4 linked regions of the Rhinolophus ferrumequinum genome follow. The protein of the gene in region 4 interacts with the protein of the main gene of each other region in a biochemical or structural test. Links are inferred from orthologs where the notes say so. Each region holds a gene or a part of one and is shown on either strand. Other genes may lie near its edges. The genes, in order: GRB7, MATK, TEC and KIT.

Region 1 (7,593 bases), on a different chromosome or scaffold from region 4:
TCTTCCTGGCTTCCCACCATAGCCCACCATAGCATACTAACAGGTCACCCACTCTACCATTTCTTTAAACCATTCATTGGATTTCTTCAAACCATTCATTGTTTTTCCATTTATTTATTTCCTCTATCTATCTATCTATATTAGTATCAGGAAAACCATTTTTTAAAGATTTTATTGGGGAAGGGGAACAGGACTTTATTGGGGAACATTGTGTACTTCCAGGCCTTTTTTCCAAGTCAAGTTGTTCTTTCAGTCTTAGTTGTGGCGGGCGCAGCTCAGCTCCAGGTCCAGTTGCCAGTTGCTAGTTGCAGGGGGCGGAGCCCACCATCCCTTGCAGGACTGAGGAATGGAACTGGCAACCTTGTGGTTGAGAGCCCACTGGCCCATGTGGGAATCGAACCGGCAGCCTTCAGAGTCAGGAGCACAGAGCTCCAACTGCCTGAGCCACTGGGCCGGCCCAGGAAAACCATTTTGTAAGCAATGATTTATAGAGTTGTACAACCATCACTACAATCCAGTTACAGAACATTTCCATCAAGCTCAAGAGGTCCCTCCAGCCTGTTGGCAGTCAATTCATCTCTCAGATCCAGCCACTGATCTGCTTTCTGTCTATAAATTTGCCTTTTCTGGACATCTCGTATATCAGATAGAATGATACAATATGTGGTCTTTTGCTTCTGGCTTCTTTCATTCAGTGTAGTTTTTGAGATTCAACCATGCTGTAGTATTACCAGTAGTTTGTTACTTTTTTGTAGCTGACTAGTATCCCATTGTATGGATATGCCACCTTTTGTTTATTCAATACCGATGAATAGACATTTGAATTTCCAGTTTTTGGCTATTTTGAATAATGGTGCTATGGACGTTCATGTAAGTACATACAAAGAGTATGTACATGTGTGTCCACGTTTCTTAGGTAGATTCCTAGGAGTAGAATTGCTGGGTTGAATGGTTAGTTTATGTTCAACTTTTTAAGAAACTGCCAAACTGTTTTAAAAAGTGGCTGTACCATTTTACATTCCCGATAGCAAAATATATGAGAATTTGTTTCCCCATATCTTTGTCAACACTTGTTGCCTATCTCTTTGATTATAGCCATCCTGGTAGGTGTGAGGTGGTATATCATTGTGGCTTTAGTTTGCATTTTTCTAATGACTAATGATGTTGAGCATCTTTTTATGTGCTTACTAGCCATTCATGTATCTTATCTGGAAAAATATATATTCAAGTATTTTGCCCATTTTTTTTTTTTAAGATTTTATTGGGGAAGAGGAACAGGACTTTATTGGGGGAACAGTGTGTACTTCCAGGCCTGTTTTTCCAAGTCAAGTTGTTGTCCTTTCAATCTTAGTTGTGGAGGGTGCCGTTCAGCTTCAAGTTGTTGTCCTTTCAGTCTTAGTTGTGGAGGGTGCAGCTCAGCTCCAGGTCCAGTTGCCATTGCTAGTTGCAGGGGGCGCAGCCCACCATCCCATGCAGGAGTCAAGGAGTTGAACTGGCAACCTTGTGGTTGAGAGCCCACTGGCCCATGTGGGAATCGAACCGGCAGCCTTCGGAGTTAGGAGCATGGAGCTCCAACCACCTGAGCCACCGGGCTGGCCCTATTTTGCCCATTTTTAATTGGGTTGTCTATTACTGATTCGTAAGCATTTTTTATTCTAAATTCAAAGTCCCTAACTGGATAGATGACTTGTAAATATTTACTCCCAATGTTTGACAAGTTTCTTGTTTTAATTTTCTTAGTTATATCTTTTTTTTTTTAACTTTTATTTATTTAAGCCTGTTTTTCCAGGACCCGTCAGCTCCAAGTCAAGTAGTTGTTTCAATCTAATTGTGGAGGGCGCAACTCACAGTGGCCCATGTGGGGATTAAACCGGCAACCCTGTTGTTAAGAGCTCACGCTCCAACCAACTGAGCTAACTAGCTGCTCCAGTAATGTCTTTTGGAAGGCAAAAAATTTTAGTTTTGATGAAGTTTAATTGACCAATTTTTTTCTTTTGTCACCTGCACTTTTGCTGTATGTGAGATACAAGATCATAAAGATTTTCTCCATTGGTTTCTTCTAGAAGTTTTATAGTTTCAGCTCTTATGTTTAGGTCTATGATCTATTTTGAATTAATTTTCATACATGGTGTCAGGTAAGGATCTATATTCATCTTTAGGCATGTGGATATTCATTCGTCCCATAACCGTTTATTGAAAAGATTATCCTTTTACCCTGAATTGTCTTGGCATCTTTGTCAAAAATCAATTGACCAGAAATGTAAGGTTTTATATTTGGACTCTTGATTCTGTTCCATTGATCCATACATCTATTTTTTGTTTCTTTCTTTCTTTTTTTTTATTGGGGAAGGGGAACAGGACTTTGTTGGGGAACAGTGTGTACTTCCAGGCCTTTTTTCCAAGTCAAGTTTTTGTCCTTTCAATCTTAGTTGTGGAGGGCGCAGCTCAGCTCCAGGTCCAGTTGCTGTTGCTAGTTGCAGGGGGTGCAGCCCACCATCCCTTGCGGGAGTCAAACCTGCAACCTTGTGGTTGAGAGGACGCGCTCCAACCAACTGAGCCATTTGGGAGCTCAGCAGCAGCTCAGCTCAAGGTGCCATGTTCAATCTTAGTTGCAGGGGGCGGAGCCCACCATCCCTTGCAGGACTCGAAGAATTGAACTGGCAACCTTGTGGTTGAGAGCCCACTGGCCCATGTGGGAATCGAACCGGCAGCCTTCGGAGTTAGGAGCATGGAACTCTAACCGCCTGAGCCACCGGGCCGGCTCTGTTTCTTTTTTTTAATTAAAAAAATTCAGATACAATTTATACACAGTAAAATTCACCCTCTTGAGTGTACCTTTCTGTGAGTTCTGACTCACAGTTGTATATCCACCACCAACACCAAGATACATAACAGTCCATTACTTCCTACAGGTCCCTGTGACCCTCTCCCTCCACCCCACCCCAACCCCAGATCTGCTTGTTTTAGTTTCACCCCCTCCAGAAAGCCTTAATGGAATCCTACAGCACTCAGTCCTCTGGCTTCCCTTTCTAAACTATCCTTCAACATCCAGAGTGATCTTTCCAAAATAAAGATCTGCCTGTTCCTCTGTGCCTCTATTTAAGCCCAGGTAGACCCTGCAGGGTCTGGCCTCTGCCCACACATAGTTCCTGCTGGTCTGGACAGACAGGATGGATGGCTCTTAAACCTGGTTCACAGAACAACCACCTGAGGGCTTGTCAATACCACACATTCCTGGGTCTTGGCCCCAGAAACAGATTCAGAGGTAGGGAGGGGAACCTGGATCTGTTTTTCATACAAGCCTAGGGAGATGTAGAGGCAGGTGGTCACCGGCTACACTTTGAGAAACACAGCTGAGTCCAAAGCACTTGCCTTTCCCCACACCTTCCACAGCCACTTCCCTGCCCCAGACAGCTTCCCCTCTGCTCAAATGTCACCTCAAGGGAGAAGTCTTCTTTAACTCCCTGGGTGAGTCATTCTCCCAGCATCGTTTGTCACCTGTTGTTTCTTATTATTTGTATAATTCTTTGATTAGCATCAGTCTCCCGACTGGGCCACAGGAGGACAAGGGCGCGGCCTGTGTTTGTTGCTTACCACTGGATCCCCAGTACCAAGCATGGGTTTGGCCTAGAATAGATTCTTAACAAATATTAGTTGAATGAAGGAATGACTGAGTGAACTGTCTACTGTGCTTTGCATAAGCTACTCCATGGCCCAGGTGACCTACCCCCTCCCCCACTTCTTTGCTTAGTCCACTCACACTGGTTTTTCGGAGAAAATGTAGTTTGGAGAAAGTGGAGGCTGGAGCCACTTTTCATGGTCTCCCAGGGCAGACCTCTTATCACCCTATGGGTTGTTTTGTTTACCCAACTGTCACCCACTTCAGGCTGGGAGGTGGCCTCTGCCTTTGATCTCAGCCTCCCAGGTCCTCCCCTCCACACCCCAGTGTTTGCCTAGTGCAAAAGGAGAGAGCCAAAGTGAGCGCTCTAGGGGAGTACCCTGGCACCTGGCCAGAGCTTTCCCTACCAAGAGACCATGACTTACCCCTTCAATTTCAGGAGAAGCTAAGCCCCTGCATTTTGCTCAGAAGGGAGGACATACCCTCCGTGCCTCAAAGGAGCCAGGATGCAGCCCGGGGGGCCAGGCTGTGGCTGGAGGTCAAGAGGCAGGCCGAGTTGCCGGACACTCCTCTGATTGGCGGCCCCCTTTTGTCGAGCGCCCTTTGCCCCAGGGGGTGGGACCCAGAGCAGGCCCCCAGCTTTGGCCAATGAACACTCCAGGTTTGGGGGGTGGGGGCAAGGGGAAAAGTGGGCGGGGCCGTTTCCTCTCACCTCGTCCCCCAGTCCCTCCCTCCCAGGCTGTGAGGTCTTAGCTCTTGAGGCTATTCAGTTCGACTGTCTCCGCCTCTCCCCTGGCACCTGCTGCCAGGCTAAGAAGGGTAAAAACAATCCCAGCCGGCGTACAGTTTCAGGGAGTCCCCGCCCAGCCTAAGCTTCCTCCTCCCATGCCGCTCCTCCAGGCCCCACCCCCACCTGCCCAAGATAATTTTAGTTTCCTTGCGCCAGGAGCCGGTACACACTGGGCTCACCCTCCCCCCCGCCCTCACTTCTACATCCAAAGGCGGGACACCCTCCTACCACCTGTACAGAAGAGGGAGCGGATTTGAAATCAAGTCCAGGTGTCTAGGGTCCCTAGACTGTGCCGATCTTCGGACTCTGTGTCCTGCTACTCCTGCTGAGGTTTTTACAGGTAAGGGGGCAGAGATCAGTCCCAGACGACAACCTGCACCCCGCCCCCCAGCCGCACCGGGGCCCCAGGCTGTGCCCGTCTCAGGGCCAGGAGCTGGCTGGCTGCCCAGGTGAGCGGCCGGGCGGCCAACTGGCTCCCTCTCCTGTTCCCCCCTCAGTGATGTCAGGCCAAGGGCGGGGGCAGGAGGGGGACAGGTAGTTAAGGGCTTGGCGTCTCCCTCCCCAAATCGGAGGCCCCAGCCAGGTGTCACCAACGCCCCGGGTCCAGGTAAGGACCAAAGCGGGCATTTCATCTTGGGAGGGTGGGGAGCACCGTCAGGACCGGGGACAATATGGGAAGATTCGGCCTCCTGCTGTGTTACTCCGGCGGCCTCTCTTTCTGTTTTCCTCTAGCCCCCCATCCCTCCCCTTCCTCACCGTCTGCCCTCAGCCTTTCCCTATCCTCATTTCCTGTCCTCTCCAACCGTTCCTTCCCTCTCTGTACCCAACCTTCTCCCCCCGCCCCCCGGATCAACTAGCACATGGGGACGGGGAAGTTCGATGTCAGATTCTCTACTCCGGGAGACGCGGCTTTCCCGCTGAAACTAGCCCCTCCCCACCCCCATTCTCAGAAGGCGAGCTAGGAGGGGGGTCCGAATATCGAGGAAGCTGCCCCGGAGTCACTCCCTAGCTCAGCCTGATTTTTACCTCAGTTTAAGTTTCCCCAAGTCTTTTACTAAAGACCGACATCTCTGCGACGGGAGGGAGGGTCTCGTTTGGAGGGCAGTTAAAGAGGGATTCTCTACGTTGCTAGAGCTTCGTCTCTCCGGATTGTACCTGTGTTCAGGAACACAGGGTCCTGCCCTCGAATGGGAGAATGGGGGCGGGGAAGGTCCAGGGTCCCTCCTGGCTTCAGAACAAAGTGGGCTGGAAAGGCTGGAGACCTGGCTGCTGGGGTGGTCAGCCGCACAGCGCGGCCTGGGGAGAGTGTGTGTGCGTGTTGGGGGGTCGGGGGGGAGGCAGATGGTCTCGTCTGTTTGAATAGGCCGGAGAAAGACCCAGGTCCCAGTCTGGGTCTCCCTGGCTCGTTGAGGATGGAGAATGCACCTGTCCGTGGTTGAAAGGTGTCCTAACCCCACTGCCACTCAAGAATGCCCCCTCTTGGTCTGCCTTTCATGGACTCTGCTCTCCCCTTCACCCCTGATACCCCCCGGGGGGGCCCTCCGCGAAGGCAAGCAGCCAGTAATGATTAACTCCACAGACACTCTAGCATTCTTACCAAATTAAACTTTAAAAGAGCTGCCCCCCCTTCTCCCATTGGGCGTTTCTTTTCTGAGCAAGGGAGTAGGCGGGGCCTCAAGGTCCAGGGCCCTCCCCCCAACTCCGGGTCACAGAGGGGTTCCCCGCCTCCTCACCTGGGCCCTGCACCATAAGAGCTCCCCCAAAAGTTGAGCCTTCCCCGCTACAATCAATCGCGATGGGGGCGGGGCATGAAGTTCTGGGCTAGACCCGGTCTTCCCTCCACGTCCAGGGCCCCAGCCCAGGCCTCTGTCCTGCTAGCCCCTCCCCCCACCCTGGGAAGCACCGAACGTGGCCTTGTTTTCTGTCGGCCTTAAACACTGGGCCTTGCCACCCGCCCTTGGGGCCAGCCAGGTGGGGCAAGATTCAGGAAGTAAACAAGGAGGCAGGAGGCAGGAGGCAGGCAGGGAGGGAAGGAGGGTGGGGCCGGAGCCGCCGGGGCAGGAGAGGCGGTGGGGAAAGCCGCTGCTTGGACTTGCAGTGTTTAGGGGACAGATTGATTCTGGGGTTTGGCTTCAGCAGAAGCGAATTTCCTAAGGCCCCAGTTTGAAAGCTTTAGCTCTCTTGGGAAGGAGGCTTGTCCAGGCCCCACAGCTGGGACCCCAGTTCTCCTATTTCATCTCTTTGGTCCTGATTGTGCCACTCTTCTCTTTGCCTCAGAAGGGTCTGGAAGAGGCGGGGTGGAGGGATCTGAAGACCAAACCCAAGTTTGAGGCCATACTAATCTGATTTAAATCTGCCCTCTCCCCTTCCAAACACTGCCCTGATTCCTCTTCCATCTGGGATGGGGGAGGACCCAGACTCCTCCCCGACCCCCCCCCCTCGCCTCTGGCTTCCAAGAGGGGTAGCCTCTGCAAACCCTCTCCCTAGTCCTCCTCGTGGAAGCGTTGTGTTCTGGTGGTGATGTACTGGTGTCTATCAGGATCAATGGTGGGAATATCTTCCCCTTTCCCAGTAGGATACTGAGCCCCTTCCTTTGCTCTCCCTCCTGGACCTTTCCTTGTCTGCTTGTCTGTCCTCCTGGGTGTCTTGACTTTCTGCTCCTGCTCCTGGGGTCCACCTCTTGCCAGGACACTAGGAGAATGTGTAGGAGGGCCTTCATCCCCCGTGAGCTGGCTGAGTCCTGGGTACTAGGGCCGGGCAGCAGCAGCAGAATGAAAGCCTGGGAGGCCCCATATAGTAGAGGGAGCAATGCAAGCTTTCTTTGGGTGAGTGAGGGACGCCCCTGGGAGGATGGCTCCACTACCGATGGGCCTCTAAATCCAGGCCTGATTTTTCTTCTCTCTTGTCCGGACTGGGGTGCTCCTGGGTTGGGTGGTGGTGACTGGACTGGGGACAGATTGCAGGTCCCACCTGGACTGGAGATGTGGAGGTAGGCCGAGGGTGAGGAGGAAGAGATGATGTCAGAGGAGCCTCAGGCCCTGTATCCTCCTCCCTTGCTCCTCCTCATCCCCTGTTGTGTTCCTTGCCCTGTGCCTTCCCTATTCCTCCCAGGCTGGAAGGTTGGGGGCGGGAGTGGAGGCGGTGTGTAGAGGCAGGGTTGTTTGTGTTTCTCTTAAGCCAGGAA
Region 2 (7,164 bases), on a different chromosome or scaffold from region 4:
TACGCACAGTGAACCTGCAAGCGTGGCAGGGAAATGATATGCCTGGCTCCACCTGCAGTACAAGGAAGAACAGGCGAGGGATGTGGGGGGAGAGCAGACAGCCTCCCCCATTAACGGCAGATCACCCCTGGCACCCCAAAGCAGGTCGCTTGGAGGAGCCCTTGTTCCCCAAGTCAAGAATGATGCAGCCGACCACAGCTCTGGTTGCAAGATGAGCGATGCAGCATTTTTCCTCGAAAGAGCAGAGTGTTCCTCCGCTGAATCCCTGAGTCCCCTGGCAGGGAAGAGAAAGCTAAATTTAAAGGTGTGCTAATTGGGGCAGTCTGATCTGGCCACTGGCTCCTCTGGGGCCATGGTGCCAGCGCAGCCATCCCCACATCTGGCTGCAGCTGCCCTGTCTTGCCTGCCCTCCAGATCCAGAAATTTCAATTATGGGCACATTCTCTGGTGGTCTGTCATGTGCCCACCACTATGCCGTGCACCAGCATGTGGGCCCTGGAGCTGGATGGGCCTGGGTTCAAAGCCCAGCCCACCACTTCCTGTGTCATAGGGTGAGCCTCAGCACTCTCTGAGCCTCAGCTTTGCCATCTGTGAAATGGGTACAATGAGAGTGCTTGCCTCACAGGTGACAGGCACTGCTCATTCCCTCTCCCCTCCCCAATATTCACTGGCTTAAAAAAATACTTTCTGAATACTACTGTGTGCCAGGAACTGACCACAGCTGTGAACGACACTGTCCAAAATCCCTGCCCTGGGGAGTTGATGTTCTAGAAAGGACACAGCCAGTAAACAAGATAAACAAGTAAAACATATGGTCAGTCAGACCATGGTAGCTCCACAGAGCTACAGGAAAGAGAATGTAACATGTCAGAAGGTTGAAATATTCTGTAGGGTTGCTATAATGTTGGTTATGTCTGGGGAAGTGTCCCAGGCAGAAGGCACAGCTAACGCAAAGGCCATGAGGTGGGAGCAAACCTGGAAGCTTTGAGAAAGAGGATGCCAGTGCTCCTGCCTCCCCCTCTTGGCCCTTTTGGGTCCTTTCAGGGCATAGGAGTGAGGTCTTGCTCTGAGGAGGGTATGGATGTCTGAGAAGGTTTCATAAAAATGGTGCCAGTTTTCATGGACATGGAGGATGAGCTGGGGTAAAGACTACATTTCCCAGATTCCTCTGCTCCTGGGGTTTCACTGGAAGAGTCCTTAAATGAAGAAATGTACCCTTTTCTGCCAACTTCCTGCTTCCTATTGACTGGAATGCAATAGGTGAGAGGGCTGGAGCTCAAGCAGCCATCTTAGATCAAGAGAATGAAGTTTGAGTGTGGACAAAGGCAGAGCAACAAGATAGCAGGAGCCTGGGCCCCTGACATACACAGGATTTCCTCCCTCAAAGAGCATTAATTTCTACCTAGTAATTCAAGCCTCTAACACTTGGGGTCTTCCATCCCCCACAGCCAATCCTAATTTTAACTGATGCATTATGTAAAGTGCCTGTCACATGACTTCTTTTGTTTATTGCCTATAATGATTTTCGTCCATATTTGTAAAGAATAAGAAATATATCCTGCCTTTGAAAAGTCTACAACTCCATTGGGTGTGTCTGCAGGCCTGACTTCTAGCCCCAGTGTTACCATGGGCAAGTAGCCTTGCCTCTCTGGGTCTCAGCTGCTCCAATTCTAAAATGAGAGGATGGGTCCCCAAAATCTCCAGGAGTTTGAAGAACAGAGGGTTATGCAAATCACAACAGTCAAAATAGAACAGTGAGATGCGAAGAACAGTGAGATTCGGATGAACAAAAGAAAGGCATTCAGGCAGGGGACAAGGTGGGTTCATCAGGGTTTCTCTGTTGCAAGTGACAGAAGACAGCACCACCTGATCCAGGGCATGAAAGGGAAGAGATTCCTCTTCTTAGCTGGGTTTAGGGCAACCTAATCTGACTCACCAATTCCACATCATAGAGATTTAATTTCAGCACCCCACTCTGGTCCCATTTTCAGTATTAGGAATTCTTTTGGTTACAAGTGGCAGTAACCTCCTGAAAGCAACCAAAAAGCAAAGAACTGCTTCCAATGCTAGGCATAGCGTGACCTCCAGACATGGCTGAATCCAACGATTTGAATTCTTCCTGTGGTATTCAGTCTGTTTCCTGGCTCTGCTTCCTCTGGGCTGGCTTTTTCTCAGGCAGGCTAATGGTCTCAGTTCCCAAGGCCAGATCCGTGCCCATCGGTGAAATGAGATGGCTAGTGTCTCTAGCTAGGGGTCCTTTCAGGACATAGAAGTTAGACTTGCTCTGAGAAGGGTAAAGGTGTCTGAAGAAGGCTTCATAAAAATGATGTCGGTTCAGCTGGGCGTGAAGGATGAGCTGGAGATGCCATCTGGATGGGAGAAGCACATTCCGGCAGAGGGGACAGCCCATGCGAAACCATGCTAACTCCTGCAGTTCAGAGTTGCCAAACTATTGGGTGCTTGGTGGGAGCAGAAGCAACTGAGGCCAGGGAGGCCAGGGAGGGGCCAGATATGAAGAGCCCTGAATGCCAGACTGAGTGTTTTAGGCTCTGTCCTGCAGGCAGTGGGAGCTATAGCAGGATTTAGAGCAGGAGAGGGCCACAGTCACATTTTCATCCCTTGATGATGCAGTGGAAGATGAATGGTAACAAGGAGAAAAACTGGAGGCAGTTGGGAGACCAGAAAGGGGGCTGCTCTATCACCAGCCTGCACCAGATGGGTGTCCAGGGGTTGGGGGTGGGTGGGTCAAAGAATTTCCAGACTCAAGTTGACAGGACTGAAATGTGGAGGGTGAAGAGCCCAGGACTGGGGAATTCTGGTATCCGACCCGATGGTGTGGCTACCAACTGGCTTCAGGCAGGTAGAAGGGAGAGGCACGTCCTTCAGCTCCTAGCAGGAGGCAGGAAAACGGGTGTTGCATCACTGGGGACTGGAAGACCCATTGAGTCTTTGTGATTCAAAGTGCCAATTATTGGATGCCTCTAGGATTGGGGAGCTCACCCCTTCTGTAGCTCTGACCCAAATTAACCATGGACTCAAATCTATCCCCCTAAAGTCATGCACAGCTCAATGCCCCATGCCCACACCCATGGGGGGCGGGCTCCCTGTTCCCCAGGCCAACCCTTGGAGATTCGGGCACCTAACACCTTCTCCTTAAATCTGTCAGTCCTCAGTCTCAACACCTTTGCTTCCTCTGATCACTCAGAGGTAGGGCCTTCCAGAATGTGGGACATGGACCCCTGGGCATCCTGGGGAGGATGTAGGTGTTACTCAGACCCTAAGTACCTATTCGCAGAGGGAGAAAGCCAGCCCCTTCTGACCCTCTTCCCTTCTCTCTGACTACGTCAAGGAGAACATCTCCACGGGGTGCTAGGGCATCTCAACCTCTTAGACATGGGCTCCTGTCCTTGCTGAACAAAGAAGGCAGGTCTCCACTGTGGGGCCTGGGGCCATAGCAGTCCCTGCTGAGCATTTAATGGTGCTGTCTGTGGGTTTCCTCTGTGGCTATTTTCACTCTGGGTTTCTATTTCTGGAAAGTGATGATGGCTTGCTATATATGGTAGGCCCCCATCACCCTGACTGAATGCTGGCTGCAGGGTCCCAACCCTAGGACCAGAGCAGTGCCCAGTGGCTGGGAAGCAGGGCTCTCTGGGCATCTTGACTCAGAGCCCTCCAAGGTCAGCTCCACCCTTGTCCGAGCAGACTCTGCCGTTAGAAGCAATGGAGTCATGGCTGGAGGCCAGGCCCAGTGCGTGGCCATTCAGTGCTCATCCAGCTGTCCTCTGAGGGGACGCCCGTGTTGCCCAGCCCTTCAGAGGAGGAAAGGGAGGTCAAGAGTGGGGCAGTACTGCCTCTGGCACAGCTGGGTTGGCTCCCGCCTCAGGACCCACCATTATTCTCCAAAGGAGGGTTGCTCCGCCAGGAGGCTTCCAGTTCCACACGATTTTTTCCCTTGTGGCCCCAATTTTCCTTTAACGATAATGATGACGATACTGGCAGCGGTTGACATTTTGGGGGAGTTTTCTTTGTGCCAGGCATCAACAGCTCTCTACAGCAACAGGTAATTAAATGAGGTCCCGTTGGCAGAGGAGGTGACAGGGCGTTGGAAAGGCAGAGTCCGAAGGGCCCATTTTGTCGTCTGGGCTCTGCCGCCTGCTTATCTCCCCGACCGGCAGCTCATTCACTCCACTCCGCGCGCGCGCGCGGTGTGCCACCTGCTCCACACTCCAAGGCCTCCGCTTGTCCGGATGAGCTGGGGTGCGCGCCCCTCAGCACCAGGCCAGGGAGAGGCGTGGAGCCGGTGAGAGTCTCCAGCGCCCCCCGCGCCGCGCGGGAGGTGCCGGGGACCGCGGAGGCAGGGCGGGGAGGGGCCCGCGGCGGCGCGCAGAGCAGACCGCAGTGCGGCCGGCGCTAGGACCCGCGGGATCCTCCCTGGCCGCGGCACCTCCCGCTCCCCGGCCACCCTACCTCTCCTCCACCCCCAAAATGAGGAAACGGAGGAACTTGCACCAAGTTGTGCAGCGGGGCCCGCCTTGGGGGTGCGCAGCTGGCACGCGGGGGCCCTCCTGGGGGCGGGGGCGGGGCGCGGCCCGGGGACGCCCCCTGAGCAGGTGAGCGCGGTGACGGGATTGGGGGTAGAGACCGCAGGGGCAGTGGAAGCGAACCAGAGGGCTCCATGGGGACCCGGGCGTTCGCGGGAGGGGCCGGTGTGCGCTCGAGTGTGCACGTCCGGGGCGCGCGACGGGTACGCTGCTGAGGTGGGGGTGGTTACAGGCAATCAAGCGCGGGGTGGGGAGTAGTCTGGGTGGGGGTGTGCGCGTCTGCGAGCCCCCAGGTGTGTGTATCAGCGCGTCCACGTGGAGGCATGTGCGCGTGTGGCGGAGATGCGTGTGCGCGGCCCTGTGTGTAGCTCTGCGTGCCTGGGTGGCCCAGCGTTTGGTGCCCAGGTGTTCAAGTATGGGTCTGTGTGTGTTAGTGGGTGGGCAGATGCACACGTTTCCAGATGTCCCAGCACCTGCGCATGTGTACACACATGTAGAGGCGTGTGCACACCTGTCTCTAGGGGGGCATGCCTTTGCTTACACACCTGGGTGCCTGTGGGTACCTGTGTCCACCTGTGTCCAAGCCCTGTGTGTTTCTGTATGTGCTTGTGTGTACATGGATCAGTATAGGTGTGAGTACACGTAGGGCTGAAGATTTATGGGGGTGCACATTGGAGGAACCAAGATTCACCCCGCAACTTGCCCCACTGTCCAGCCACTTGCGGTAGGGTAGATGGGGGTGGCAAGGGGTGGAAAAGTCCCCAACCAAGCAGCAATGAAGGAGTGTGTGTGTCAGTCCTGGGTTGGGGTGGGGGAGTCAGAGAGGTTTGGCTGGTGGCCAGAGGAGCCCAGCAGGGCTCCACAGCCTCCGCCCCACCTCTGGGTCAGAGTTCCTTGGGAATGACCTTGAATCATTCTGTATTTGTCTGCCCTGTTCCTGCCCACTCACCAGAAAAGAGGAAGAACCAGGGTCGATTAGGTGGCACCAAGCTCCCCATGTGCTGTGTGGGCTGCTGGGGCCTGAGCTAGGTACCTGTCCCCTCCCCAGCCTGTGGCCACTAGCTCTGTGCCCACCTTATGCCTCAGTTTCCCTTTGGGAACCATGGTGGGGCGAGGCTCCACGGTTTCCTTGCTGGTGTTTCATGGCTGTGACTCTGCTAAGGAACTCCCCTGGGTAAAGGCCACCTTCCCAAATGGCCTTCGGGAAGCTATACCTGAGCCCCTCTGCCCCTGGCTGTCCCTCCGACCCGGCTTGGGCTGGAATTGGTAGTGATGGGGTGAATCTGGGCTCTCCAGCTGGTCTCTGCCTCCTCCCCAGGTGAGCCCTCGCTTCCTCTGTGCCTGGCACTCCTCCACCCATCTTAGCCAGGATGCCCACGGTGAGTACCTCGACCTGGGTGCCTGTGGCCTCGGCCCTTCCTCAGCTCAGTCCACGCCCACAGGACCTCAGCTCCACAGGGAGGAGGACTGTACTCTGACCCTTGTCCCTGTAGCTGCTGTCTCCCAGGCTTTCTGTTATTTGGTGTTGCATTTCTTTCACCTTTTCTTCCTGACCTGTACTGAGCACCTGGTGTTTGAGACTCTAATAAATCTCTGTTGGCAGCTCCCTTGTCCTTTCTCCTCCTCTCGCTCTTTCTTTCTGTTTTTTGTTCTGTCTCGGTCCAATCTTTCTCTCTCCGGGGCATCTCCCTCATGTCCCCTTTGCCCCTCTCCCTCACCCCCTCACCCAGAGGCGCTGGGCCCCAGGTACCCAATGCATCACCAAGTGTGAGCACATGCGCCCCAAGCCTGGAGAGCTGGCCTTTCGCAAGGGTGACGTGGTCACCATCCTGGAGGCTTGTGAGGTGAGCAGTAGCCAGAGGGCCTGGGTGTGTTTGGGGACAGGACCCCCACACACACACAAACACACACATACGGACCCCTGGCTCCCTCCCTGGCAGAGCAAGAGCTGGTACCGCGCCAAGCACCACAGCAGCGGGCAGGAGGGGCTGCTGGCAGCCGGCGCACTCCGGGAGCGTGAGGCCCTCTCCACTGACCCCAAGCTCAGCCTCATGCCGTGAGTTGTGGGGCGTCCTGGAATGGGGGGGCCAGGAGGGCCTGGCCAGCCCAGTCCAGCCTGCCCTTCTGCCCCCACAGGTGGTTCCATGGGAAGATCTCAGGCCAGGAGGCGGTGCAGCTGCTGCAGCCGCCTGAGGATGGACTGTTTCTGGTGCGCGAGTCAGTGCGACATCCAGGTGACTACGTGCTGTGCGTGAGCTTCGGCCGAGATGTCATCCACTATCGCGTGCTGCACCGCGATGGCCACCTGACCATTGACGAGGCCGTCTGCTTCTGCAACCTCATGGATATGGTGGAGGTGCGCCCCAGAACCCAGAGACGCATGCTCCCCAGTGCAGAGAAGCAGCTGGTCCCCATGGACCACCAACTCTCTAGGGGGTCTGAGTCCTCTAGGTCCCACCTCCAAGGACTGGGGTGGCTCCTTCAGGGACCTTCAGGAACCTCCAAGTTGACACCAATCCAGAGACCTCCCCATCTTCCCTGTTTCCCCCCTAGCCTCCATACTTTCTTGTTTCCATGCAAACCAGCCCAACACATCCTGTGAGACCCAAACCCCTCTCCTTCT
Region 3 (7,037 bases), about 8.7 Mb from region 4:
CAGTTTCCTCATCTGTAAAAGTAAATAAGAACTGTACCTACTTCACACATTGAGTATTAGATGAATTAATCTAATGCATTTGAGACAGAGCCTGGCACATAGGAACACCCTAATAACTGTTAATCATAGTTCTGATTTTCAACACAACGAGTTTCTTCCCACATAATTTTTACTTGATTGCAATCACAGGACATATAAAGCATTGTGTTCTACTTTTTTTCACATAGTGTTCGCAAGTTTTTCTCCATATTTCTATTTTATTAACATAAAAACTATTTTTGACAGCCTGACATTCCAAACTATTGACATATTTTGCTTAAACATTTCCCTGTTATTGGACATTTAATTATATTTTATTATTATTAGTGATGAACTTATAAACATCTTTGTATATGATGCTTTTTCTTTCTTTTGAATGATTTATTTGGCAACTTTTCCCAGGAGTATAATTTTTGATTTTGTGTCCAAGATTTAAAACTTTTTCTTCAATGTAGTTCCAAAAAAGCAACTACTTTCAATACATGATGAAAAGAAAGGCAGGCTTATCATACTACTGAAATGAAGTCATCTTTATGTAGGAACAGACTCTCTATAAAAAACTGATAAGGTCTGTATTATCTGTATGTTGTCATCATTCATTCATTCAACAAACATTAGAAACATCACCTAGAATGGGCCAGGCCCCTTTTGGATAGGAAGAAAGTTACAAAAAGAAGCCAGAGATTTACAAAGCAAAGAGTGTGAGAAGCTCCAAATACAAACACCACTTTATCTACAAACCTTTCTGGTTGATTCTGTGTATCGTCTTATGCATAATGTGGAATTTAAATGCAAGGTAAAAAGAGGCATTTTCTTCTCTCAAGGAACTGAAATTATGTCAGTCTGATATTGTTCACTTAAACATACAAATTTTATAGAAGCCACGGGAATATCTTGTAAGAAGGGAGCCCCTGTCTCTAATGCCTTTTTTTCTGTATCTTGATTTTATTAAAGAAAGCAATAATAATATTGTTTGAATTTTCTCCTTGGAGAAGAGGGAGAAATCTTTCTAAGTCCACCCCCAGATTCTTTCTTTTGATGGGTACCCAATAGAAAAGTTTGAGTTACATAGGCCTAAACTTTATACTCTTGTTTCCTATTAAAGCTACTGAACTTTCCACATAAGAAATAATAAAGGGTGAACTATTTTTTTTAGCCTACCACATCCTGAGTTCAGTTTTACACCTTTCATTGATGTAGTTGAAATTCTCTAATAGAATTACTTGAAATTCTCTTTCCTTCTTTTCAACAACATCCCGTTGAGAACAATTGTCAGTACTCTTCATTACATTGTTTGGGGATGACACACCTGTGAAAACCACCTACTGAAGCTGTTTGATTAATAATGTAATGAATGCTTCCTTCAGGAAACAGTATAATGTTTTGCAAACTACCCTGGTTATCACTGATACCAAATTATATTTATCTGGGTGTTTTTGTTTACGGGTCAGTCCTCGCTGGTTTTCTTGAGAACTGAGAGGGACAATATAGACATTTTCCTCTCTTTTAATTTTAAACTTTATGAAGGATTTGCTTTGCTTTCAGTCAAACTTCATAAACTTGGAGAGCCTCATTACCATTAAGTCAGAAATATGAGCCACCAGAGTCACCTAGCTAGCGTAGGCAAAGTGAGTTAGAAATCAATTCTAATCACGACATCAGTTAAACCCTTAAGACAGTTCTTTTTGGGATCATTCAATTTTATATAAACTTTTATATATATAAAAGTTTCTTTCTAAAAGTTTTTATATTTCTTTCTAAAAGTTTTTATATTTCTAAAAGTTTTATATATATAAAAGTTTATATATATATATATATATATATCCAAAAAATGTATACACATTTTAAGAAAGGAAAAAAATGTATTAAAATTGTAATACAGTGAATGACGCTGGCATTCATTTGATTAATGCCATCTTTTGAGCAAACATCATACTACACATTGCTATCATAATTCAATTCAACTTCGAAAAGTAATACATAGATAACATCTCTTAAAATGTGTACATTTTTTGGAACCCCTTGTGTGTGTATATATATATATATATATATATATATATATACACACACATACATATATGTGTGCATGTGTGTATGTGTGTGTATATATATGTATATATATATATGAATTTTTCTTGGGAGAAAACTGACTTTATTACCATAATTACATAACTATAACACACTCTTCACACACACACACACACACACACACACACACACAATCTCAGAAGATTCCCGACCTCTGCTCTTTCAAAGAACACCTGCCCTTGAGGAAATTATGTCAATCAGTCAACTTGAGTATCTGACTGGGCTAAAAGGCAGGAGAGACTGGGCCTGGGAGGAGACAGTATATCACAAAAGAGAAATTTTACTAGATTCATTCTGAGGACAGGTCACATTATGTTCAGGGTCCTCACCGGAGTGAAAGAAGATTTGGAGTTAGAAGGCCTTGGTTCAAATCCGTGCCCTCTTCGCATACCCCTGCTTTTTTTTTTTTTTTTTTAAATTTTATTGGGGAATCTTGGGGAACAGTGTGTTACTCCAGGGTCCATCAGCTCCAAGTCGTTGTCCTTCAATCTAGTTGTGGAGGGCGCAGCTCAGCTCCAAGTCCAGTCGCCATTTTCAATCTTTAGTTGCAGGGATCGCAGCCCACCATCCCATGTGGGAATTGAACCGGCAAACTTGTTGTTGAGAGCTTGCGCTCTAACCAACTGAGCCATCCCGCCGGCCCTCCAGCAGATCAGCGGCAGCTCATTGTTTTCAATCTAGTTGTGGAGGGTGCAGCTCACTGGCCCATGTGGGAATTGAACCGGCAACCCTGTTGTTCAGAGCTCGCACTCTAACCACCTGAGCCACCTGGCCGCAAACCCCTGCTTTTTCTAATTAAGTAAGTCATTAAACTTCTGTACCCTTAGATTTCTTTTTTCTATAAAATGGAATTTTGTCAGATTTCTTCTCAGGTTTATTGCATGATTAAAGGAGAGCCTATAGGAAGGTATATTTTTAAGTCCCAAACAGGCATGAAGTATGATAACTATTAGTGCACTTGCCATTCCTTTCATCTTCATGTTGACTGCCCAGGTTCTGTCATTCAGCTCTCAGCTCCACGGTCACTTCCTCAGAGAGGCCTCCAGGACCACCAGATCTAAAGTGGCCTCCCCCTTCACTCTCAATTCTATCACTCAGCTTCATTTTAGTCAAGACACTTCCCACATATGCAATCGTTTTCTTTTTACTTGCTTATTGATTACTTACTGTCTTTCTCCCTACACTAGAATAGAACTCCTTGAGGGCAGAGCCCTGTTTTGTATTCCCTAAGCCTGGAAGAGTTCATGGGACATGGTAGACACTCAGATTTTAGAGTCAGGATAGCAGTGGTTAAGGGTGCGGACTCTGGAGATTATTTAACTCTCCTCTACGCCTCCCTTTTACCACATGTAAAAATGAGGGATTCTGATAACAAATACGTACTTTATAGAATGGTAATATATGTGAAGTATGTAGAACAGTGCTTGGCACAGTGTCAGTTTTATATAAGTACTGATTTCTACTCTTCAATGAGTTTGACAGAAGTGTTAATACATGAACATGAGTGCAGGTGGCCCTCTAAGTGTGTCAGATATCCTCCGCGGCCTCAGGTGTGACAGTGAAGACTTACTCTTTTGGTAAAGCTCGTCGCTTCGCTCCACTGCCCTGTCATCCGCCTGGCCCCCCACCGCTTAGCGGAAGAGGAGGTGTGGTCCCTAATTCCGACAGAGTAACCAGTAACCCACAGGTGGCACCGCTCTGGGTGCTCCCAGGCCAGGGATGTACGAGCTCTCGCGGGGCGGTTCTCCGGGACAGGAAGCCCGGGACTAGGGAGTCCCTGCGTGTCGTTCGGGAACACAGGGGACACTTTTGCGACTTCCCCGGAACTCAGGCCTCGGGTCTCAAAACCGTGGCAGGGCGGTGGGAGCCGATCGCCGCCCGCGGTAGGGAGCGGGGGCGGAGCGACCGGGGGACGGGGCGGGGCGGGATGGTCGCGGGCGGGGCTGAGAGGCCCGGAGCTCCGGACTCCGCCGCGCCCGCCAGACCTCGCATTCTCTCCGGCTCCGCGCAGCCTGCGCTCTCCTGCCAGGTAAGGGCGCCGTGGGCCCTCGGGGGCACCCCGGGGACTGCAGGACTTCGGGCGAGGAAGGGTCGGGACGGGGATGCGTGCGGTGAGAGGTGGCTTCCACGTGCTTCGAGACTAACCAAGACTGACCATCGTGGAACGAGGAGGGATTTCCCCACCTCCGCGCCGCGGTGAGCGTGACGCGCCACGCCAGTGCGGGATCCTGTCCTCTTCGGTCCAGGAAGAAGGCGCAGGTAGGGCCGTTTCGGCGGCCGCCGCCCCTCCGCCTCCGGGGCTCCGGCGCTGGTCTCTCCCGAGGAGCGTCCGCCCCTTTCTCCCGGGGTCCCGGGGCCGAGGCAGCTTCGCGGCAAGTTCAGGGCTGGGTTCGCTTCCCAGCAGCGTGGCTGGGTAGATTCCTCCTCTCTGCTGGGGCGGCAGCGCAGGCTTGATTGAAAGTTGGCAGAAGCGACGCAGGTATTCCACAGTTGCCCGGGTCCGAGTGCCTCACCCCACCAACTTCACACTTTTTTCTTTCTTTTAGTCTGGGAAATTGTAGTTAAATCTTGAAAACAGGGGTTCAGGGAGTATATCATTAAAACTAGGGCCTTGATCGACCCAGGAGTATTCACTTTAACTCCTAAATTCAGGTTTGGAAACAGTCTCATCCACTGCCATTCGTTGGAAACTGGCATATTTGATGAGAAGTGTAGATCTCGGTGTTAATTGGATGGCTGGAGGCTAAGTGGGTTTGAAGGTTATCCAAAATAGTTACTTTTTGAGCATATACCCTGCATTTTCCCCAGTGAGTGCCTATTTTTCCTTTTAGGAAATTCTGAGAATTAACTCTCTTCCAGATGATTCTCCCCTAAAGAGCTGGGGAGGAAAAATCAACCCCTACAAACAAGTGGGTTTCCAAAATAAGTTCAAGATTTGTCAGGTTAATTTGTGACACTAGTAGCTCCTTAGTCAGGAAGAATCTCATGCAGTACGGAATGTTATGATTTATATGGAGAAAAGAAGTGTGTAATTTTCTCATTAAGTATTTGAAACTAGTTTTTAGTTTAGTGACATTTTCACGTGTCTAGGAAAGACCTATACTTTCCCCATGCTCCAGTTCATCTGATCAATATATTACTACACTTGCCAAGTCATGATGCTTATTGCAGTGGGTTTGTGTTAATGATCTGGAGTCTTCTCACAAGGATGTGTACATTTTGGTTTGTGGAACTGTGTAAGGCAAGTGAAACTGTAAGGCAAGTGTTACACACATGCAAATCAGTACTGTGTTCTAGTCAGCAATACCTTTGCCGCAAGTAGGTCCTTGAACTAAAATTTTCACATCTCAAATAGGAAAGAATATAGAATATTAATGTATGCTCTAGCACTTTTAACTTGATGTTTCCCTTATTCTGTATCAAGAATAAGAATGTTTTTTTCAGCAGCTAGTTACTGAAGGGCCGGGACTCTGCTTTGTCATCTTATGGTAAAGCTCAGAGAATCGTGACTTTTGCTTCCTGAAGTTGGCCCTTGACAGGGTGGTTGGAGGGATTGTGGGTGGTGTCTGGCCACTTTTATGCTTGGGGAAGAATTGTTGGTCTCCCTGCCTTCCTTTGAGTATTCAGAGTGCTAGGAGCCTGGGCCTTGGGCCTCTGAGCCTGCAGGTTTCTCCAGGTTGACCTAGTTGGTGCCTCCTCTCTCTGGCCCAGCTCTTTCAGCTCCTTCTCCATCCTTCCTATCCCTTCCACCCCACTCCATCCATCCCAGATTCCCACCCCTAGGGAGAATCACCTTTTTGTTCAGGGCAGGGTGACTTGGTCCACATAGTTGATAGGCGAGTTGATCCTCAGCCTGGTGCTGGGTTTGCTAAGGATGCTCAGTAAATATCTGTTGATGACAGTGTCACTTGTTTCAGATCCCTTACTATGCTCTCCTCTTATCCAGTCTTCATAGGCAAATTGAGTAACCCAGGTTGAACCCAGATCAACCGCTTTGGGGGCCAGCTGCCTTGGTTGGTTTAGGGTCATAAATTGGGCATTCAGACCTGTGAGAAAGGAGTAAAATTGGTCCATGGTCACTGGCAATAGGAAAATTACCCTGTACCATGTGATTATGCCATAAGAATAGCTTTGTTGGAAAGAAGCCCAGAAGAGAGGGGCTTAATTGTTGCCTCATCTTCAAACTTGCCTCCATCTGGTCTTGTCTTTTTGTTTCTGCCCTAGTTCAACCAGTCCTTCCATCGATTGGATTATAACTATTAACTTTCCCAACTCATTTGATATCTCAGAACTCACAGCTCTGATGACCACAGCTACTGTGGTCTAGATGTGGAAAGTTACATTTTCTTGTGTTTAGAGGAAACAGGATGGAATTTTTCCAAACAAATTGTTGTTAGGGAAACAAAGAAAAAGCAAATAAATGTAAAAATGTGTGGGCACAGAAGCCAATGAGTTTTTGTTGTTGTTGTTGTTTTGTTCTGTGTTTTAGTTTTAAAGTGTTATCCTGGTTACATTTCTTTCTCTCTTAAGAAACAACCACTCATAATTCTTTGAATTGGTTATTTTGTTACTTATTGCTTGTAGTTGATACTTCTTGAGCTTTTAGTTTGAAACACTATCTGTTCACTTCCCACAACACAAGTCATGAAGATGACTGGCAGATGACGTGGACGACAGTGACTTGGCTGTCTTTTTTTCCCTCTAATCCCCAACACAACCACAGCTTCCTTATTTTCCCATCCTTATAATCGTTAAACAGTAATTTTGGTTAAATCAGTATTCATAGCTAAGCCAAGCACAACTTTTTGTTTTCCGTGGAGTTAGTAATTGTTTTGTTTGTTCATTTGCCTAGTTTTTCATGTACTCATCATTACTTCAACCCAAAACCCTTGGCCAACTTTTTATATTGC
Region 4 (7,686 bases):
AATAGGTATTCATTAAATAGTTTCAAATGAATCTCACTTTACAACTGATTCTGGTAAGTCGTGTCAATAGATATACAGTTGGGCACATGGGACCAACCTCAGGCTTCACTGCTGATTATTCTGGGAACTGACTTGTTCTCAGCCAGTTCTTCCAGCTATAAAAACGATAGGGGGAAAAAAAAAACCGATAGGGATGGTGACAGTACTGCCTCTGATGCTTGTTGAGAGAACGGGAAATGTCAGGTAATGGTCCCAGCACAGGGCCATGCACACAGTTTCCAATGAAAGAGCAACAACTATGTACAACACACACATAATGTGAAATTTCAGGCGCCTAGAAAAACATATTGCAAGGGCACAGCATACATGATTTATAAAGTCGTAAGAACAAACGTGTGGATGAGTGGGAAAGGCCAGAATGGGGATAAATGACTTATCTGGGATCCCTTTATAAGACCATCATATTATTTCCAGCAGGATAATAATCCAGAATGTGTCCAGCTGCTGGGAATGACGCTAGCCTCACACCTGCAGGAACAAGGGGAAGGTTATGATTCACTGCTCCCTGCAGGTTCATCCAGCTGAGCACAGGCGTTGTAAATACTGGAGGGGGAGTTGCTGCCAAGATGGTACCTCCTAGCCCTCAGAGTGAAACTGTAGGTGAGCACATGTGGACTGAGGACAGGAAAGCACAAGCCACACATCCCTGCTTTAGCCGGGGGTAGATCAATAGGATATGACCAAGTGGTTGGACCCTGTGACTAGGAGAGGCAGAGGAATTTCAAGGAGGTAGAAAGGAATCAGGTAAAGAGTTCAGAAGAAGTGTACAGCCTACACTCAGAACACTGGAAGAGGAGAATTTTGGACCCAAAGGATCCTTCACAATGAAGATGCCTCACTGTCCTCTTGAGGATACTGGGCCCCCCAGAATTTAAGCGACCTGCCCAAGGGCACACAGCCAATAAATCATTGAGAAAAGAAAAACCAGAGGGCAGCACAGAGGCTTTCTCACTACACCATACTGCGCCTCCCTCCCCCAGAAGCCAGACGGTAAAATTCCCTTTGCCAAAAAATCTATTGGATGGAGCAGGCTAATTATGAGGAAGAAGGAAGCAACTGATTCATTTAATTTTTACAAAGAGAACCATTCTGTGTGGTTTATCTTTCTAGTGCCCTACTGCGTCCGGTTCACATACCTTAACTGAAATTAAAACTGCCACAGCACAAAGACCTAAGGACCAAACCTATCATTTGAAGCTTAGGCGATCAAATCCATCACGGAATCCACTCACTGGTGATCCTTCCTACCACAAAGGGGTCCAGATGCAAGGCCTCTCTTCCCCCACAGGAAAGCCCTCACAATGCCTTACAAGACCTGGAAGACGGAGGCTGCATCTTGAGACTTCATGGGAAAACTGAACGGTAGTCCAGAGTCCCACTATAGTTCACTGCGATGCTTGCTGCCTTTGGAACCCCTGAATTCCAGTTCAAACTCACTTTCTAGCCATCATCAGGGTAGCCTTAAAGGTTTTTTGGGTTTTTTTCAGTGACCTGGGAGAGAGCAGTACAGGGGTTGGTTGGGCCACCTGCAATGGTTCACGCACCAGCAACACCCAGAAAAAAGGGAAGAAGGGAAAGGAATCTGACTGAGGGCTTCCAGAAATCCTCCTCCTCAACATTAACACCTAAGTTCCCGCGCAGATATAACCGGATTTTCACAACAGCTTTAAGATCCCAGGAGGATTTGCAGAAAGTTCCACTCCATCTCCCACCTACCCCATCCCCACCTCCATCTCAGGCGGCCCTTAAGTATAGCTATCACGTGGAAGGGGGTGTTGTGAATCTCAGAATTCCCAAAGAAAACAGGGACCTGCGATTACAGGTCGCAGACCCCGATTCGAGGGGCTTGCAGAGCCCCGCCAGCCTGGCCGGGCTCTCCGGCTGAGCGCTGCAGACGGCCGGGGTCAGGGACCTCAGTGTCCCAACGCACCGTCCCTGTCTCTCCCAAGAACAGGCTGCAAACGCAGCCTCCGGCAGCACCGAGGCGCGTGGCAGGAAAGAAACAGCACCGCGGCAGAAAAGGATAAGCCTCCAGCACGAGATTTACAAAAGCAAAAAGTCTGCAACCTAGCGGCTGCTTTCCACACGCCCTGGCGCCCAAGTTACCTCTGCAGCCGCCACATCAGAATCGCACTCGGCGGACACCCGGTGCAAAAGCATAACCCGTGGGCTGGGGGACGCCGCGGCCTTCGACTTGTGTCCACGGGTGGCGCCACGAGCAGAGGCGGCAGTGGGTCGGTCCCCAGCTCTGGGGCACAAAGAGCGCCAGGTTGGAAAGCAGCAGCCGCAGAGCTAAAAAAAAAGCTCTCCAACTTTGCCCTCGGCGTGACTGAGAACCTGCGGGCCAGTCCTCCAGTGCGCCGGTCACACAAGCGCAACTTTTAACAAAAGGAAGAAGCGGCCGCGCCACGCACCGCGGAGATAACGCTCGGGGTGCAAACCCGGGACTCGCCCGCCTCTGCCCCTGCGCACTCTTCGCACAAAAGCAACCCCAAACTTGCAAGCAGCCCGCGCCCTCAGCCTGCACCTAGCTCAAGCCTAACCCCACTCGTTGCCCTCTTGCCTGGGAGACCCCAGCTCAGCGCCCCTAGCACCAGCGACTGGGGGATCCTCCCGCAGGTGAGCGAGGCTGGGCGCAGGAGAGTCCCCGGGACGCCTCGATCTGCCAGGAGGCTGAAACGCAGGGGCACTGTGGGCCGGCGGCCACCTCTCCGGACACACCCCAGAGAGCTGCAGCCCTCAGGGGCACAGGCAGCGGCAGGGGGCGCGAACCCGGTGTCCGCCGCGCTCTCCCACCTGTCTGGAGGCCGAGCAGGAGAAGCAGGACGCAGAGAAAATCCCAGGCGCCGCGAGCGCCTCTCATCGCGGTGGCTGCTCTGGGATCGGAGCTCCGTTCCAGGTTCCAGCTCTCGCCCAAGTGCACCGAGCGCGGCAAAGCCGAGCCCCCAGAGCCGCGAGCGCGGAGCAGCAGCCCCTCCTCCCAGCGCCCTCCCTCTGAGCGCCGGCCACGCCCCTTCTCGGCGCCCCTCCTCGCCTCCCCTCCCTCCCTCGCTCCCTCCCTGCGGCGTTTGGCCCTTGCTCTTTCGACCTGGTAATCCCGTGGGGGTTAAACCCACGGGGAGAAGGAGGGCGTGCCAGCCTTTGCTGCCCGCTTTCAAAACCGGAGCCCCTCTCCACCTCTCGTCCCCTGTGATGTGATCGGTCTACCAGAAGCCGTTCCCGGACGAGGGTGGTGCTGCCCGCGCGCTTTGTGAAGCTGGGCACCACGCGCACATTAGGACACGGGCCCGCCACCTGGCAGGTGCTCCCCAGATAATAAAGGTCCGCCGCTCTCTCCTCGAGCACGCCCGCGAGGGAAGAGGCTGGACGCCGCAGGTGGTGGACGTGGTGCCGGGACAGGAATTGGGGCGCAGTGGAAAGGGGGTTAGGAATTAGAGCCCGATATTCTTTTCCATTCCTGTTAGTCGAGGGAGACCAGGCGCGGCGCCTGGCACAGCGGTAAAAGGCTCAGCCAGGGCGTAGGTAATTCTTTATGCTCGATTTCTCCACCTGCTCCCTAACCTGTAACAGCACAGTTGGTTTCTATTCGTCAGAGTGGCCTCAGCCCAACAAGCTCCTGCTGAGACTTCTAGAGACTGGGGCTTTGGAGTGGGGAGGGGCGCCTTGCGAAGTTTGCTCCGGGATCCACAGTCGTGCTAAAACCCTTTGGGCGCCTTTTTTTTTTCCCCCCTTTCCCTGTATGGTTTCTCTGCCTCTCTATCAGACGACAGTTATAGGGGTGGGGATCCGAGGGTTCCTCTTAGCTGCCTTACAGCTAAGGCAGCTCTAAGGGAGCAAAATAATAGTAAAATGATTCTCTTAAGCCAGGTGCCACTGCCTAGGAAGTGCTTTACCCAAGGTAACAGTACTATCTGTATAGAGTTTTATAGTTCCTTCTTACACTGAATATTATTTCATGCTCACAATAACAGTTTTGTGAGGTAGGTAGAGCAGATACGTTTATTATTTTATTTCTAAAAGTGGTTCGATCACTTTTAGAAATAGCTAACAGCTAACAGAGGAGACCCAGTCATTTTAAGAATAATTCGAGGTATGATGAGCTTTCCCTATGCATTCTAATAACACAGTAAAACACCCCTTCAGAGAGCTTCAGGATGGAAACTAAATGGGAAGAGGGGGGTTGCCCATCAGAAAGTGATGGAATAATTTAGATATACTTAGACTCTTCTCTACAATAGCATCCAAAATTTGTAACTACCCCCCCCACACACACACACTTTATTTAATATTGAAATCTCTCCTGTCTGATGTTGATATAGGACCTAAGCTGGTTTAAGAAAAATGATTTTCAAAGCTAAACAAACAACTTAAAAATTGTCACTACTCGATCAATGTGTATGATTGCTTGTCTAAATTTGTTTATTCATTCAACAAGCATTTAGGTGTCTACTGGGAACAAAGAGGCACTATTGTTAATAGACAGATGTGGGCCCTACCACAATCTTTACAGTCAAGTGGGAGAACCACACCCCAGTATCCTAGCAAATGGTTCAAGTTGTACAGCTAAAATTCAAAGTTCTCTGTTTGTGTTTTGGGCCATTGGACCGTATCTTTTTCTTAGGATGACAGAGGTAAAAGCTACCACTCAAAGCAATCATGAGTTTCTGGGATCTTGATTTATTTCTAAAATCCATTTTGTAGTGAGAAAAAATCACTATGGGTTAAAATACCAACAATATGCCTTAGAGAAAATTTACAATTTTCTCCTTCAATCAACTGAGATTGGAAAGGATAACAAGTCTTCAGAAGAGTGGGTGAAAAGAGACCATATTGCAATTTAATTCTAAGCAGGAAAATTCTATTAGGAAAAATACCAGAATAGGGAATTTTACAATGCTGGACCGTCATTCATATTCACCATTCAACAAACATCTATTGAGCACCTAGGTAGGCACAAGACCTACAAAAAATCAATTAAGACAAAGTCCCTGTCTAGAGGGATTCATAGTCCTGGGGGAATAAAACATACCCAAATAAGAAACTATAATATCTTCTACCAGAGCTCATGTGCAGCCAGTACACACCACGTTGGCCATATTGATTGGTAGAATGTTGAAATCCTTCTGCACTCATTGGGGAAAAAAGCTGCCACTCCCCTAAATATCTAAATGCTGCCTAAATCCAACCCCTTTCTTTTTTTTTTTTTTTCTCATCAGATCCAGCAATTAAAGGTTTAATACTGGGCAGAGCAGAGATCTCCAGTCTCTGCGCCTTTATGGTTCATACCCCCTGCCAGCTAATGTACTATAAGGAGGCATCTAGAAGAGACTAGGAATGAACTGTTTTCAGAATGAAATATCTTAGAACATGTCCAACAGAAATACTTACAATGATGGAAATGTTTTATATCTCAGGATGTATGGGACCGGTTCTGTACTCTATTTTGTGATAGCCCTGGACCCTTTCATGAATTATACTTTACATTTTTTATTGTATTTATAATTGTATTTTTGACTGCAAGTTGTAGAAACCCAGCTTAAATTGACTTAAGCAAACAAAGAAACCTAAAATTTATTGGCTTTTACAACTGAAAAGTCCAGGCAGACTTTCCCAGATCCAAAAACTGAAAGTCATAAGGACTCAAAAGTGGTGGTGGTGATGGTGGTGGTGGTGGTGATGGTGGTGGTGGTGGTGGTGGTGGTGGTGGTGGTGATGGTGGTGGTGGTGGTGGTGGTGGTGTGTGTGTGTGTGTGTGTGTATACGTGCATTTTTCTCTATCTCCATCCGTCAGCAGTACTTTCCTGTGTTGCTTCCCTGTATTTGTGAACACTCAGGCAGCTCTAGGCTTACAGCTCATTGAGCTGTTCTGCCCTCGTGAACATCTATAAAAGTACTGACTTATTTTAAGTCACATGACCATCTGGAACCAGTTACTGAAGCCAGATGGCATATGAGGATTGGCCTCTGCTGGGTCACATGCGCACCCCTGGAGCCAGGGTTGGGGTCCACTTCACCCACATCACAAGGCCATTCTTAATGAGGAGGGGTGTGTCCTCACCAAAAATTTAGGTACTGTCACTGTAAGAAGGAGGAATGATGCTGGACAAATACAACAAAAGATATTCACTCTAGTCTCACACAGCCCAAACCTCTAACTTGAAAATTTTTCATATTTCTGATTATAAAAGTAAAGATGCTTATGGTAAAAACTTTAGAAAATACACAAAATGATAAGAATGAACCAAAACAAAATCACCCAATATATAATTAGCTGAAAAGTTCATTTTGGTGTGTTTCTTTCAAATTTTTTTCCTACGTATTCTAAGGTTTTTTTTCCCTTTATATAATTTCAGATTTTATAATATTTGCTAGTTTTCTATCCAGCTTTTTCATTAATCATAACATACGAGTAAGCAGTCATTAAAAATTTTCTGGAAAAATAACATATAATGGCAGTATAATGTTCAGTTGTATATATGTACCATAATTCTGGATGTTTAATCATTTCTCTATTGTTTTCGGTTTTTTTCCCTACACAAATTACTTGGTGATGAATATCTTGGTGAATAAAAATCTCTTGCCTCTGATTATTTTCTTAGGATAGATTCCTAGAGGTAAAATTACTACACCAAGGGTATAATCCTTTTCAAGTTTACTACTTAATAGTTTCTGTTTTTCCAATAACCATTAGAACTGGCTAGGTGTTGTCACTTGTCCATAAAGTGGGATAAATGAATATATGATCCTTATTGCTAGACTCAATACTAACAATAACCACCTCACAGTTTGTGAGGCTGAAAGAAGATGAAGCATGCTCTCAGTTCAAGCTTTCATTCAGTATTTATTGAACATTACCTATGTGCCAGAGGTGCTACAATAATTGCTGGCAATGCGAAGTTCAACAAAATACAGATGCTGCACTCATGAGTTTTGCAGAGAAAGAAGAGAGACGCATAAGGGGGTCAAAGATTACATTATTATATGTACTTAAGAGAGCTCTATGCACACCGTGATGTTTAAACACAGAGGAGCCCCTAAATCATATTGTGCAGTGATCTCATGAGGCTCGCTCAAAGACGTGACAACTAGATTGGAGGGATCAGGAGGAGAGGAAGGCAAAGCAGGGAAGAGAACGCAAGGGTAGGAAGCACACATGCAAAGGGCGAGAGGCATGAAACAGCACTGACGAATAGGAAGAACCACGAGGAGTCCGGCACAGTTAGGGAAACGGGGCCTGTCGGGGAGCGGGAGTGGAGACCGAGATAAACAAGGGCCATTCATGCCAAGAATCATGAACTGCACCCTCTGAGCTATGGAGAGTCACTAGAGTTCTTTACAATGAGGCCAGAGATGGTAAGATTTACATTTTGGAAAGATAGTGGAGAAGCTCAGTGAAGGATGAGTTGAAAGGGGCCAAACCTTGAGGCAAAAATAAACCAGTGAGGAGCCTAATGAGGTGAACCAAGGGAGAATGTGAACTGCATTAAGTCTGTGGAGGTGAGATTGGTGAGAGAGGATGAATGAGAGAGAACTAGGCCTTGATCACTAACAGTAGTGGGGAAGATGAGCGGGAAGAGGGACTCAAGGATGGTGCCCTGATTTGTGGTATAAGGTACAATGTGTGTG

The links.
Region 1: the proteins of KIT (region 4) and GRB7 form a complex in vitro, tested with the Homo sapiens proteins (3 studies listed by BioGRID and IntAct, with this or other methods). The link is inferred for Rhinolophus ferrumequinum from reciprocal best matches to the Homo sapiens genes KIT and GRB7.
Region 2: the proteins of KIT (region 4) and MATK form a complex in vitro, tested with the Homo sapiens proteins (2 studies listed by BioGRID). The link is inferred for Rhinolophus ferrumequinum from reciprocal best matches to the Homo sapiens genes KIT and MATK.
Region 3: the proteins of KIT (region 4) and TEC form a complex in vitro, tested with the Homo sapiens proteins (2 studies listed by BioGRID and IntAct, with this or other methods). The link is inferred for Rhinolophus ferrumequinum from reciprocal best matches to the Homo sapiens genes KIT and TEC.

What each region holds. Positions count from the first base shown.
Region 1 is NC_046304.1:36,331,467-36,339,059, forward strand, and holds the start of GRB7 (growth factor receptor-bound protein 7), read left to right. Parts: upstream 1-4,573; 5' UTR 4,574-4,749; intron 4,750-4,835; exon of another isoform or gene 4,836-4,858; intron 4,859-4,869; exon of another isoform or gene 4,870-5,016; intron 5,017-7,593. UniProt on the Homo sapiens protein: Adapter protein that interacts with the cytoplasmic domain of numerous receptor kinases and modulates down-stream signaling. Promotes activation of down-stream protein kinases, including STAT3, AKT1, MAPK1 and/or MAPK3. Promotes activation of HRAS.
Region 2 is NC_046301.1:59,688,776-59,695,939, forward strand, and holds the start of MATK (megakaryocyte-associated tyrosine-protein kinase), read left to right. Parts: upstream 1-4,159; 5' UTR 4,160-4,300; intron 4,301-4,402; exon of another isoform or gene 4,403-4,610; intron 4,611-4,661; exon of another isoform or gene 4,662-4,744; intron 4,745-5,859; 5' UTR 5,860-5,911; coding exon 5,912-5,920; intron 5,921-6,271; coding exon 6,272-6,385; intron 6,386-6,481; coding exon 6,482-6,597; intron 6,598-6,677; coding exon 6,678-6,897; intron 6,898-7,164.
Region 3 is NC_046288.1:8,156,342-8,163,378, forward strand, and holds the start of TEC (tyrosine-protein kinase Tec), read left to right. Parts: upstream 1-4,035; 5' UTR 4,036-4,054; coding exon 4,055-4,156; intron 4,157-4,586; exon of another isoform or gene 4,587-4,606; intron 4,607-7,037.
Region 4 is NC_046288.1:16,906,026-16,913,711, reverse strand, and holds the start of KIT (mast/stem cell growth factor receptor Kit), read right to left. Parts: upstream 3,009-7,686; 5' UTR 2,924-3,008; coding exon 2,857-2,923; intron 2,422-2,856; exon of another isoform or gene 2,167-2,421; intron 1-2,166. UniProt on the Homo sapiens protein: Tyrosine-protein kinase that acts as a cell-surface receptor for the cytokine KITLG/SCF and plays an essential role in the regulation of cell survival and proliferation, hematopoiesis, stem cell maintenance, gametogenesis, mast cell development, migration and function, and in melanogenesis.